2 separate regions of the Mus musculus genome follow, and region 2 is reported to be linked to region 1. Evidence: microRNA targets listed by miRTarBase, many of them from high-throughput screens and not tested one by one. Region 1 holds a microRNA gene; the other region holds the end of a gene's coding sequence.

Region 1 (7,120 bases):
CTCACCCTAGATTATGAAAAAGCAGAGACAGGAAGATCATGAGTTCAAGGCTATTCAGGGTATAAGTAGCATGACATCCTCAAAAAAATAAATAAAAGATAAGCCAGGCACGGGGTGGGATGTGGTCACATCTTTAACCCCAGCACTCTAGAGGCAAAGCAGAAGCAGGTGGGTCTCTTGAGTTTCAGACAAGCTTAGTCTATATAGTGTTATCCTGTTTCCAAAAAAAAAAAAAAAAAACAAAAACAAAATAAAAGCTGGAAGTATGACTTATCAATAAAAACCCTGCCTTGAATCTACATGTTTTCATCTTAAATTCTTCCTGGTATTTTTTCCCTGTAGTTGGGTTTGGGTCATGGGTTGAGCCCACACGTAGAAACCCCAGTAAAGGATGGGGGCCAGGTTCAGTGGTGGAGTCTCCTAGAATCACCCAGTGAGGAGTTGAGGGCATGGTCAGGGGTGGAGCCCCACTTAGAGTCCCCCAGAAGAGATCTGTAAACATTCTGTTTGAGAGTATCAGCCTTTCCTAAATAGTGTGGCCGTTGCAGGAGGCTGAGAATGTTAACAAAGTCTTGTCCTAATTGACCAGTGAGGTAACAGGAAGTTTCTCCCACCGAGCTGAAGCCTGGAGAAGGCAGAGTTGGTTATGGGAGGTTATGTGAGTGGACTGTGCAGACCCAAGAGAGGAAACTGCATGGACAAAGCAGCCCCTGGGCTGCTGTGTGACTGAGTTTGATGTCAGCTTTACACGGGTGGAGCTTAAGGGAAGCAGGAACCTCAATTGAGAAAAGGCCTTTATCAGGTATTTTCATGATTAATGATTTAAGGCCATTGTGGGTGGTGCCATCCTTGGACTGGTGGTCCCAGATTCTATAAGAAAGAAGACTGAGCAAGCCAGGGGAAGCAAGTAAGCAACCAGTAAGCAACACCCCTCTATGGCCTCTGCATCAGCTCCTGCCTCCCGGTTCCAGCCCTGACTTCCCTCAGTGATGGAGTGTGGCCATCATTGTAAGCTGAATAAACTCTTTCCTGCCCTTTTCTTGAGTCAAGGTCCTGTCACAGCACCAGGATGCACACTAGGACAGCTGGGGAGAATTGCACAGTGGGGGATGGTTAGTGACTGCATTAGAATGTCACAGATGATAGGTGTTGAATGTTAAGAATGCCATGACCCACCAGACAACAAGTCCACATTTTCTTGGTATCAGTCATGCAACTAGTGGTTGCTTTGTGTGGCGGGCACAGAGTTTTATTGAAAATTGGGCTGGGGCTCCATGGGTACCGTACCCAGTCAAAGCATTTGAAATTCTGAATCCAACACCGTGTATGCTAGGCATGGTTCTCAGGGACTGGAGGCAAGAGAACTCAGTGTTCAAAGCCATCCTGGGCTACATTCAGAGTTAGAGAAAAGCCTGGACTACAGGTGACACTGTCTCAAAGCAGGCAAAGTGAAAAGAGTGAGGAAAAGAAAACAAGAAAGAGAAAAGAATTTCAGGGTTTTCTAGAAGTACCTTTGATGCCAATCCCTCTTTTAAAAGTTTTATGGCCGGGCAGTGGTGGCGCATGCCTTTAATCCCAGCACTTGGGAGACAGAGGCAGGGAGATTTCTGAGTTCGAGGCCAGCCTGGTCTACAGAGCAACAGCCAGGTCTATACAGAGAAACCCTGTCTCAAAAAACCAAAAAAAAAAAAAGTTTTATGTATGCACATGCTTTTAATTCAAACACTCAGGAGGCAGAGGCAGGTGGATCTCTGAATTTGAGGGTAACCTGGTCTACAGAGTAAGTTCTAAGACAGCCAGGTTTATATACAGAAACCCTCTCTTTTTTTTTTTTTTTTAAATGTAATTCTTTTTTTTTTTTTTAAAGATTTATTTATTTATTATATGTAAGTACACTGTAGCTGTCTTCAGACACCAGAAGAGGGAGTCAGATCTCATTACAGATGGTTGTGAGCCACCATGTGGTTGCTGGGATTTGAACTCTGGACCTTCGGAAGAGCAGTCGGGTGCTCTTACCCACTGAGCCATCTCACCAGCCCCAGAAACCCTCTCTTAAAAAAAAAAAAAAGAAAAATTTTTATGTGTGTTTATTTATTTGTGTGTGGAAGCATGTGTGTCACAGGACATGTATGGTCAGAGGACAACTTGCAGGAGTTGGTTTTATCCTTCTACCCAGTTGATCCTGGGGCTCAAGCTTGGGTTCCCTAATTTCAAAGCACTCTTTCCCTCTGAGTTACTCCACTGGCTCACCATTCCCTATTTGAGTCTCCAGAGAAAGCACGGTGCTGTGACCCAGGGCCCTGAGGTTGTGTCTCTGATCCTATCATGTAGATGTGTTTGAGTGACAGGCCAATAGCATGGGAAACACTCCTGCACTCTCCCAGGGCCCGAGACCTTGCTAGACACCCTCTCCTGTCCGTGCTAGACTTCCCTTAACCCCCTCCTGTCCCAGTTTCCTGCCCCTACCTGTTTGTGTATTTCAGGAGAAAGGTGATAGGAGTCCACGCTATGAGGCTGGCTGTGACTTGTTGTCATATCATATCAGAACAACAAAATCACAAGTCTTCCACATAGCACTGGCTCACGTACTCCGCTCCTCGTCCTCATCCTCCTCCGCCAGGTTCAACACCCTCAAGTGCTTCTCTCTCTCTCTCCATAGAGGATTGAGCATAACAAACCCCACTCACTGACTTACCCTCCCTAGACATCCCTTTTCCATTCCATCCCCTGAGACACAGGCAAGATTCATTCTCTACCTGCCCCCCAACTCACACCCTGGCACATCACCAACGTGGGATTTATTGTTCCAGGCACGAGGAGCACACACTTGTCACCCCAGCACGCAGGGAGTAGAGGCAGGAGGATGAGAACTTCAAGATCATCTTTGGCTACACAAGGAGTTCAAAGCTTGGTCTACAGTGTTTTAAAATAATAATAATTATATATATAATTGAGAGAAAAACTCTTTTTAAAAATAAAAAGAACTTGAGATTTAAAGTTGGATTGAGGCTGGCTTTCCCCTCACCACTTCACTTTGGAAATTAGTACACCCAGAGGCACTCATAACATCTCGTTGACCAAATGCTTCGCCTGTACTCTGTGAGTTTGAAGCCAGCCTAGTCTACATAGTGAGTTTCAGAACAGCTAGAGGTACACACAAAAAAACCCTGTTTCAAAAAAGAAAAAAAAAATCCCTCCGTAAAGGACAAATGCCAAGAACCATTAAGAGGTTCCTTCCCTGTACACTCTCCGCCAGAACAGACCCCAAGGCGATCCCTGAAGCTGGGTGTTGAGAGCTTGGCACTGCCAGGGGCCGGGTGCTGAAGCCTAGTCTCTTCGTGACCCGCTGGGAGCTGTCCGAAATCCTGGTGCTGAAGCCGAACTCTGCTCCGAGTCCCTCAGCCGGATGGCGCTGTCCGCGTCTCCAGTGCTGAAACATAATTAGTTATTGGGGGAGGGGGTGGTCAGTGCGGCTCGAGGACACTCTCCCAGCTTCTGCCTTCTGCCAAAATGCCCCGCTCCTTGTTTCTGTTCTTCGTCCTAGGGACCCATCTTCTGTTTTAATCTCTTCCCATGGACCCGGGGTGTTCTAGGCGGGGACGAAGGCGCAAGGCTCTCACCTGCTCCCACATCTCAGGGAGACAGCCCTGGGTTCTCTGCCCTTCCTAAACAGTCCAGTTGGCCTTCTGGAAGATGTGCCAACTTGCATTGTACCCAGAGTCCCCGCTTCCCTCCCTCAGCGCACCTTTTCCTCCTTCCTTCGTGCCTTACCTTCTCCTGCTCACCAGCAGCTGCAGGTGTCTCGGTGGCTGTCCAGTTTCCGACGTTTCACCTTTATGCGCTTAAGGGGAAGGCGGAGCGCTGGAAACCCTGGGTGGGGCTTAGCCAGTGAACCAATAGGAATCGTCTTGGAATGAAGCTCCAAGGATTACCTCATAGGTTGAGGCCTCGGCTTCAGAATAAAAGTCAGGCATCCGTCCAAAAACTTCTTTAGGGGTCTCCAGAAGGTGTCAGGGTGTAGTCCTGTGGCCTGTTAAGTTTCCACGAGAGGATCATCTAAAACCTGATCACTGAGTAGCCAGAGGATTAGCGATCATCAAGCGTGTGCCTGCTGGGACAGAGAAGCTGAAAAAAAATGTTTGAAGAAATTGAGGGATTTTGAAAATAAAGTCCAATTCTACACAGGGAAGATGAAGTGTGCGGGAATGAGACTCACAGAAGCGTAGGATAGAGGCGGAGCTCTGGCGATTTTTGTTTTGTTTTGAGTTAGGGTCTTGATTTGTAGTCCATGATGACCTCAAACTTATGATTCTCCTGCCTCAGGCTCCCATCAGGAGTTTGCCTCCACACTAGATTGATGCAGTGCTGGGAATGGAACTTAGTGCTTTCTGATTGCTGGGCCAGCGCTCTGTCCCTGAGCCCTAGTCACAGTTTCCCCCCTCTAACACAGTCTCTCTCACTTTTGTGATCCTCTTGCCTCAGCCTTCTCAGCACTGGGAAGGCTGGTGTGTGGCACATCACACACCTTCATTTACATAGCTTCCTTTGTAGCACCAAAGGGACAGACAGTCAGGGAGGACACACACTCAGGCTTGTAAATCTCCTACCAGCTCCTCAGGCTGCGGAGCTGGCAAGCCAGGTTCATTCTATACACCCTAGGGGCATGGGAGGAGGGGCTGCAGGGAACCTGGGATGAGACCCTGGAAAGCCACCTGCAAGATCTAAGCTCTGATCAGTTGTCCCTTTCCCTTCTAGCAGTCTCTTGGGTAAAACTTGCATGCCCCACGCCCTTTGTTTTTCTCTCTTATTTCTTCCCATTCTTTCAATTTGGATATGAACCCAGAGCCTTGCAGTCCCTCAAAGAGCTAAGTCATCTCCCTGAAATTATAAGATTTATTTATTTATTTATTTATTTATTTATTTATTTATTTATTTATTTATTTATGTGCACATGCACAGTACATGCATAGAAGTCAGCAGAGAGCTTGTGGGTCCTGCAGCCCACATTTAATTTAATTCATTTTAAACCTTTGGAGAATTCTTGTTCTTTTTATTGTTTGTTTGCTTGCTTGCTTGCTTGTTTGCTTTTTGAGACAGGGCTTCATTGTGTAGCCCTGGCTGTCCTGGAACTCACTGTGTAAACCAGGCTGGCTTCAAACTCAGAAAGATCAACCTGTCTCTGCCTCCTGAGTGCTGGGATTAAAGGTTGGCATCACCACTGCCACGCTGGAGAATCGTTTGGGGCTACGGGAAGCTGTTTGGCAGGTTTCTTCTCTCACATTTGTGAGGTCCTGTGTTCCATGTCCGCACATACAAATCAATAGAAAGTGAAACGGTGTGTGAAAGCCCACCCTCATGCATGTGCACACACGCGCCATGGTGCTTATCTGGAGCTCTGTGAAAGCCTTGCACGAGTAGGTTTTCTTCTTCTGCCACATGTGTCCCAGGGATAGAACTCAGGCCACCCCACAGCAAGTGCCTTCACCCTCCAGCTCCATTGCCCCCACACATCTCTCAGGATTGAATCACAATCATTTTGTGGATGGATTTTGTCCATCAGATATTTCCTAGTTCAAGGACTCAGAGTCCTTGAACTACGCCACTGTTTGGACATCATGAAGAAAATGTCCAGGAACTTACACATGTGCTTCCTCATGTGTGCTATTTTCACTGCCATGCCTGGTTTCTGATGGGTGCTGGGATGAAATTCAGTCCTTCACACTTGCGTGGCAAACACTTCAGTTACCTCTCCAGCAGTGTATTTTAATTCTTTGACATAGGGGCTTTGCTCTGTAGCTGAGGTTGCTCTCATATTTGAAATCCTCTGCCCCAGCTTTCTAAGAGTTGGGATCACAGGTGTAGGCTGCCATTTCCAGCTCCAACTGGCCTCAAGTCCCTCAGGTCTGTCTCCCTTGTTGATGCGCTCTGCTCCTATCCTGGAAAACTGTGTGAAGGTTCATGATTCCCACTTTCTCCCTCTGGTGACACCTCAATGTGTCCTGTGTCATGAAAACTACGGGTGTGGGCAGGCACCGATGAATGAAAGTTTTGTGTGTTTGTTTTGCTTTTGATTTTTTTTTGTTTGTTGTGTTTTTGTTTTTGTTTTTTACAGATCTTGCCTGAGTTTGTGAGAGCAGCATAGGACACTGATCATCTGCAAATAGTGTGTGGGGAGGTGTGTCACAGCAGTCTGTCTGTCTTCACACTGGCAGGAGCCTTTTCTATGGGGCCTTCACAGGGGCCTGGGCACCTTTGGGGGCCTGAGCACCTTTGGAAGCCTGGGTTGGAGCTGAAGCCTGGGCCTTATCTGGAGCTTTGGCCCCTGCCTTGGTTTGGACCTTAGGCTTCAGTTGGCAGAGCCTCTGACCCTTGGCCATGTAGCTTCGAATTTACTTCCCAATCTTAGGGTGAGCGATGAAAGCCAGCCGCTTGAGTTTGGGGCCTTTTGGCATCTTGGGCTTGATGGCCTCTGCGCGCGCACTCACTGCCTTTGCATTATTGGCCTGCATCTTCTTCAGGCCTTTCTTGTTGTGCTTCTTGGCAAGGCGCATGTTCCTCAGGAACTTCGGGTCAACCCCCTTAAGAGGTTCGTATCTTTGCGACAGGGGTTTCTTGATGCCATTTCTGTGCCATTTTCGGGACTGGTTGTGTGTGGTGTGGTTCTTGGACTTGGCCATGTCTGCACGGTAACCCACGGCTCCCACACCGCCTGGGACCAGAAGAGAAAGAGCTGCTTTTGTTTTCTTTTTAAGACAGGGTTTGTCTTCGTAGCCCTGGCTGTCCTGGAACTTGCTCTGTAGACCAGGCTGACCTCAAACTCAGAAATCTGTCTACCTCTCTCTGCCTCTGAAGTGCCAGGATTAAAGGCATGTGCCATCACTGCCCAGCATGAATGAAGGGTTTTTTGTTTGTGTGTTTGTTTTGTTTTTTGTTTTGTTTTTCGAGACAGGGTTTCTCTGTGTAGCCTTGCCTGTCCTGGAACTCACTTTGTAGACCAGGCTGGCCTCGAACTCAGAAATCTTTCTACCTCTGCCTCCCGAGTGCTGGGATTAAAGGCGTGCACCACCACCGCCCAGCTATGAATGAAGGTTTTTTAATAATCACCCAACGACACCCACAT
Region 2 (7,120 bases), not on the chromosome of region 1:
TCTCAACTGAGAACATGCTTGCATAGATATGTCTGTAGGCAAGTCTGTGGGGCATTTGCTTGATTAATGATTGACTGGGAAGCCTCAGGCATAGGGTAGAAGAGCCACCCCTCCGCAGGTGGTTCTGGACAGTATGAGAAAGCACTATGATGAGGGGACACTTAGTAAGCCAGTAAAAATCATACACACACAGCAACCCCATGGCCTCTGTTTCAGTTCCTGCTTCTAGGTTCCTGCCCTGACTTCCTCTGATATGGAAGTTTAAAGTGAGATAAACCCGTTCCTCCCCAAGTTGCTTTCGGTCAGGGTGTTTCATCGCAGCAAATTAAACCTTAAGCAAGACGGATTTAACTGAAGGCAGAAGACGGGATTTAGTGGCGAGCACCCAAGGAACTCAAGCTCCTGTCCACAGTCAGCAGCGGGCCTACTGATGACATCTCTGCGTACTCAGCCCAGTGCACAGTGACACTCCTCAGAGCACTGGAAGTGATTTCAGGAGATAGTTGACAAGCCATGCAAGTAGAATGCAAATATCTTAAGTTCTTTCTACCATATAGAAAACATGTTTCCATTTAAGAAAGAGCTGTTCTCCTGCCTTTATGTTTATGTGTGTATATGAGCATGTGAGTGCAGTGCTTTCAGAGGCCATAAGAGGGCGCTGGATCCCACTAGAGCTGGAGTCACAGATGCTTGTGGGTCTCCTGAGGTGGGTGCTAGGAACAGAACTCAGATGCTCTGGAAGAGCAGCAGGGGCTCTTAACTGCTGACCATTCCTCCAGCTCCATTTTCCCAGTATAAGACAATTGCAATCAATGGTGGTGTAAGGAATGAGGGAGGATTCCAGCTTTTCTGTTTTCCTTTCAAATTCCTGTTAATTATCTCAGATTATGTATTAAGGATGTAACTGAAAAATGTGTACATACTCAAAGTATACATCCTTAAAGTGAATATTAATGAAAATTTGGAACAAATGTTGGCCTGATTGTGTTAACAGATCTTGTTATTCTGCTTAAGATGAATCTAGTCCTAATGAAGTCTTATGAAGTAAACCAGGGAACTAGTACGAGTCTGTTTCCCTAAATGCAAGCAGCTGCCCTGGGAGGTTAGGAGGGAAAGCTCTGGGACCACAAAGAGACACCATAAAAACAGTGTCATATTCTGCAATAGACTGAGCTCTCCACAGTGATTCCTGGACAGCAGCTCTCAGAGAAGAACCCATGTCCCTTCTGCCTCAGCAGCCAGAACAGTCTTCACTGGTTATACGCGGGGCCGTGAAAGGCAGCCTCCTTTGGCTGAGCGAGGCTTGCTCCAGAGACCCAGTAGGAAAGTTTACAAGGGACGGAACAGTGAGCCATGTTCCCAGAGACAGGTGCCTGACACCGCAGAGCCCCCAACTTCATAATTCTGTGATTATCAGTCAGGCAGACAAAGCCCCAAGCTCCTGGCATTCTAGTGAGACTCCATCCTCACAGTTACCTGACAATAGCCAGGTATGCTCCTCCCCACAGCTACCCAGAAACTGCAGGATAGCCCAGCTCACTATAAAAGGGGCTGCTTGGCCCCTCCTCTCTCTCTTAAGCTCTTACCTTTCTTACTCTCATCTCTAGCTCTCCTTTTCTTCCTTCCTTCCCCCTTCTCTTTATGTGGCCATGGCCAGCCTCTCTCTTGTACCTTTTCTCTTTCTCTTTGGCCTTTTTACAATAAAGCTCTGAAACCATGTATTGTCTCTGCTCATCAAGGCCCGCCGTGCTTGAACAATGGAATAGGTTTTCCCCTAAAGAGCCGCATCTAACCACCCATCAGAAAGCCTTTCTGCGCTCTAGACCCTCGCCTGTGTGGGAATCACCTAGTGCCCCCTATGCCCCTGTCCACTCCTCTCTATGACCAAGCCTCCCCAGAGCCTCCACTTTGTTCTCAGCTCTCTCTTGACATACAGCGGCATCTGGGATGTCCAAGACTGAGAACCTGTTATCTCTGGCTTCTGTGAGGCCCAGAGACCTCGGACTGCCCCCTGTCCACCATGGACTGGGTCCATGGCTTCACACAGTCAGACACTCACCAGAGGCCACGTGGAGAGGAGTTCTTCTGCCCAGAGTTCTCTCCCACCCCCTTTATTCCCCCATACCCGCTGCCTGACAGCTATATTCATTACTTTCCTTGGGAGGGAAATACCTGGCAGGAGCTGCTTCAGGGAGAGCAGGCTCTCTTGTCTCAGTCATAGAGGGAGCGGCATCACAGAAGGAGGGTGTGGCCGAGTGAACCCATGGAGGCCACAACTTCTCACATGGTGGACCCGCAGCTTTAACCCTCAATCCTGACCAGTGATTCTTCTCTGCCATCCAGGTCCCACCCCCTGAGGGTCTGGTAGCCCCTCAAAACTTTGGAGTATCAGGTGTTCAAATGCAGAAACGTGTGTGTGTGTGTGTGTGTGTGTGTGTGTGTGTGTGTGTGAGTGTGAGTGTGTTTATGTCAGACTTAAATTGTAACACACTATTTTTTTGCTAATTTGAGATAGGAGCTGACTATCTAGTCCAGGGTAGCCATTAACTAGCAACAATCCTCCTGTTTCTGCCTCAGTTAATTTTCTTTTGGTCCGCATTTTAGTTTCTTCGGATTCTATTTTTCACTTACCAAGAATGCTTTTTTAAAATTTGAAAATTATTACTAGAAATGAGGACCACTTTAACTCTTAAGAGCTAAAGATGGTAGTACAGATTTTTTGTTTGTTTTTTGTTTTTTGTTTTTTTCGAGACAGGGTTTCTCTGTGTAGCCCTGGCTGTCCTGGAACTCACTTTGTAGATCAGGCTGGCCTCGAACTCAGAAATCCACCTGCCTCTGCCTCCCAAGTGCTGGGATTAAAGGCGTGCGTCACGGTAGTACAGATTTTAATGTGTAGAAGATATTTGAAAAAAATATATATTTCAGTGTACAGAATGATAGCTATTTTGTTTAAAACTTTTTAACATTTATTTTGTGTCTCTGTGCATGTATGTGGATGCTTGTGTCCTTTAGTGTACACAGGGAGGCAAGAGGGCAGCTTTCAGGAGTGGGTTCTCTCCTTCCACCATGTGGGCCCCATGGATTGAGCTCAGGCTGTCAGGCTTGGCAGCAAGCCCCTTTGCCAGCTGAGCCGTCTCACTGGCCCGCTAGCTCTGCTTTTATGATCCTCAGTAAGTACTTGAAACACGTGCATATTATTTTTATGGCAGGTATAGAAATAACAAGTAACAAGCACTGATTTTAGGTGTTTATTATTATTTTTTTTTAAAAAAGCAACTTCCAGGGTATACCATTGTACAGGTTCAGCCCAGTCTCCTACAGCACAGTGCGGTGATGACAAGTCTTTTATAACAATAACTCAGAGACGCTGAACGTCCATAACTAAATTACCATAGAAAAAGAGAAGAGTTTAATGTTATGTGTATTCAGAAATCATATTCTAATTCCTTTAAATCGGTTCTCCAAGCGTGATAACTCAGCTGAGCTCAGATAACTAAAAAAACCCTTTCCATCCTCCTGGTGAGTAAGATCAGGCTTTGCATAGCTTGCAAACGAATTCCACCCACTTTACACAGCATGAATTCCCTTTGCGCCTGAACTGTCGGTCATTATCTCACAATTATTCCTTGATGGATTTTCCACCATCACATTGTGTGCAGTGGCAGGCAAGGATCATTTCTGCTCTTCCTTGGGGTTCCAGAGAGACCTCTGTCCCAGGCTGGAGAGCCAAGACTTTTCCACTTCTTTATGGTAGCTTTGTCCCTGACGCTGGGGAAAGACAGCTCTTATGTCTCCCTAAAGTGTGTGGCAAGCTCCAGGCAGGACCTGTTTTCGAGCTGGCTGTCACAGCAGAAGGACCGCAGTTCCCAGCAAGGCTGTCATCGGCATTATGTAAAGGAGGGTCTCGTCACCTAGGAACTATTTGTACATTGTAAAAGCAGTATGGTCATGGGAGATCAACAAGCACAGCTTGGTAGGGTAACCTGCCATGAAATCACTGGCTTTAATAATTTACTACAACTGTTCTTTTTATTCACACTGATAGGACGTGCTTCCATCTGTCACGTGGAATATGAATATATACAACAAAATTTGGCTTATATAAAAAAAATCCTCCGTAAGGACAATAACAAGGAGTCAAACAAATAACACATGCAGTTTGCTAATCACAACCACCATCTCCTGTTGCTTACAGGGAATGACACAGAACTGATGGGCTTTGTAAACCACATCAAAGCTCTTCCTGCCTGTAATCACCTACTCTGAAAGGTATTAACCTTGACGGTTTCTAGAAACTTCTAGCCATAATTCTGAATGACCAGGGAAGACATTCCATAAATTCTAAGGTCAAACCTTGCAAATTCTTCTCAGAATCACCATGTATCAGCATTCATTTTTCCTCAGACACTTCACCACAGCCCCTTGGGACACTGCACAAGGCCTGCTCTCGGAGTCTGCTGCCTTCCCCGAAGCCCATGCTTGTTGAACAGCAACGCCAGCATCTTGGTTCGTACTTTCTTATGGCTGCACAAATCCTGCAGCTGTAATGTGGGGTGGCCCGTTTTGTACTGCCAGCAGTCAAAACAGTTGCCATGGGCTCATAGTTGCATGCTCTGAGCCTGGGGAGCCCATTCTCCTTGGAATGGTTTTCTGGGGCCCAGCAATGTCATCTCAGGTGGCTGAGACATTCTGGCACCTGTTTAACAAGGACTACACTAAACAAGCCTTGTTCTAATATGGGGGCACAGTAAGGGTGAAGGAGATCTTTTTCACAACTCCTGAAAAGCAGGGAGTGGTGGCCACAGGGAGAAGAGTGGGGTCTGGGGTACACTTGGGAAAGTGTTACTTTGGTGTCAGCACCATAGGTCTTGGACTTGGGCGTTCTTTCAGGTCGATTTTCCCCAGATAATAACTTTTATGCTGGTGGTTCCCCCATTCTCCTCTGCTTTTCTTTCTAAGGTAGGGATTACAAACAGTGTTTATCTCTCTCAATTCTAACTGATGACCAACAGGTCATAAGAGATGTGAAGTACTGTGGAAAAATATAATTGGATTAAATTGAGAACTAGTGCTGAGATTGATTAATAATGTCTGCCTTGGGAACAAGGATTGGTGTCTATGGAGTGCATGACACCTGGATGCCTCTGTTCTAAACAAGCTGGAAGAATGAGGCTAACTTGAGTTCTTGAAGGATCTTTGGAGATCACAGCCCAAAACATAAAAACTTATGCCCGTTTTATATCTTTTGTTCCAGGAAAAAGTTTAGAGGTTTAGGAGCCTAAGACAGGAATTTTGGGGCCTGTGGAAACTGAGGAAGGAAGCATCATTTTTGTACAGGCTATACACTGCCTTTGACAATGACCTCTGTTTTCATGATTGGGTGACAGTGTCCAGAGTCTACATGAGGTTAAAGGGCTCACTGACCAAGCAGCTTCAGAATAATGTAGAGGAGTGACATGGGGATTGCGGGCAGAGCTTTTCTATTACACACTGGATGTATTTCTCCTTGCTTCATAACTGGTAATACTTGTGAGCAGGTTGAAAGGCCAAGGAGAGATATACCATACATACAACGGCCTGTTTCAGAGTAAAACAACTGGGAATGGTTTTCTTGCCAAGTCAGGACTACTGTCTCTTAGCTGGATTTAGAAATCTCTGGGGTCCTGGGTATTTGAAGATGAGGAACCTTGCGATTTCATGGGGAAGGTTCTGTGTGATCAGCTCTGACCTATGCCACAGTCAACCTTGATGTTTAAGGTGAATCATTAGTAGGTTGCCTTTGACAATGACAAGGCTTGTTGGTTTAGGAACTGTGCCTGCTGAAGCCAGCCATTTCTAGATGTAAGAGCTGGACACTCCCATCAACGCTTCTCCATCAGTGCTGAGCACTGACGTCCTCTAACTTCTAAGCATGGCAACACCTTTCCCCTTCCCTCATCACTGGGAAACCAGGAAGTTCGGGAAAGAGAATAGAGCATATGCTCTTTATAAGGCAACCTGCAGATCCCAGTTGGATACCTATTCGATGCATACTAGGGACACTGCACATTTTCAGAGTTGCTGGGTGGTACCAGGGGTGGAGATGGCCTGGCTCCCAGTCCAAGAATCAAGAGTCAAATCAGTGAGGTCAGAATCTCAGCCAGGTGCTTCTTATCCAATGCTGCATTCCATTCTTGGAAGTCACTTTCTTCCTGGTCTTCATGGGACATAATCTGGCTGAGAGCACTGTGGCAATGTGGCCATCTCGGGAACCTTCCTCTAGAGGTGAGGGGTCACAGGCTATAATGTGACTGTTATTGTCTCATTGTCTGTCTTCAGGCAGTTCAAAATGCCCATTTTGTTCTGCCCATCACGACTTGCTTTTAAATCGTGCAAACATCAGGTGCCACTCACCACATAGGCTGGGCAGATCTTTCTTTCAGCAGAGAAGCCTCCTGCTGGAGTTGCTCAGGCAGCCCAGAGCTCGGACTTTGGGTTCTAGACAGAAGGCCTTGGAGGAGGTCGGGAGGGGGGAGGTGCCCTGTTAGGGGGTGGGGCCTGAGGAGGAGGGGGGAGAGTGGATGGTGGGGAAGGAATGGGAGGAGTGGGGGCACTGGGGGCTGGGGGAGGGCAGTGGGGAGCAGGGGGTGGGGGTGTGTAGATAGGAGCGGGAGGTGGGGAGCTGGGGTGGTAGGTGTTGTTCAGGGGATACTTGGCTGGCTGACTGTTCTTCACTCTGGTGAAGTTGATACAGCGTCCCTGGAAGAGAATCAGAGGAGGACCATGAGCCAATGTCTTAAGGAAGAACAAGTGCTGAACATGGTGGCCCTTGAGGGACAAGAGACACATTGACAACATGCTGCTGATGACCTAGTGACCTGATGTCACATTAGTCACTGGTTTCTTTGAATCCATGTCCTTTCCTGGGCTGGCTGGGTCTCAGAATTGTCAAAATCCATTTCCCTTACAGTCTCTCACTGTCTTGGGTGGGGATAGAGGGAAGTGGGCCGATGCTAACCTGGCTGTAACATTATGAAGGGTGTCCCATTTACTTTTAGCCTTGCCAGTAGGGTGTGGCCACCATTCCCTTGCCTGGGGGAAGAAACTAGTGTTGAGAAACAAGTCCCTTTCCCCAGGGCCT

The links. Region 1 holds the annotated microRNA mmu-miR-7b-5p (UGGAAGACUUGUGAUUUUGUUGUU, at 2,546-2,569, opposite strand). A microRNA usually pairs through its seed, bases 2 to 8, with sites in the 3' UTR of a target mRNA and lowers its output. Matches are read on the target gene's strand: a 7mer-m8 pairs with bases 2 to 8, a 7mer-A1 pairs with bases 2 to 7 and ends in A, and an 8mer does both.
Region 2: the mRNA of Antxr1 is a reported target of mmu-miR-7b-5p. Seed matches in the 3' UTR shown: 7mer-A1 at 5,160-5,166 and 7mer-m8 at 4,323-4,329.

Annotation. Positions count from the first base shown.
Region 1 is chr17:56,238,466-56,245,585 of GRCm38, reverse strand. It overlaps Mir7b (microRNA 7b), which reads right to left and starts at 2,598; the gene lies at 2,488-2,598. A230051N06Rik (RIKEN cDNA A230051N06 gene) reads right to left here and starts at 3,870. Exons shown (of 2, transcript NR_155493.1): 1 at 3,772-3,870; 2 at 2,781-3,430.
Region 2 is chr6:87,130,618-87,137,737 of GRCm38, forward strand. It overlaps Antxr1 (anthrax toxin receptor 1), which reads right to left. Exons shown (of 18, transcript NM_054041.2): 18 at 3,236-6,738. The coding sequence ends at 6,478. Among named protein-coding and RNA genes, the nearest start is that of D6Ertd527e, 29 kb to the left of the region's middle.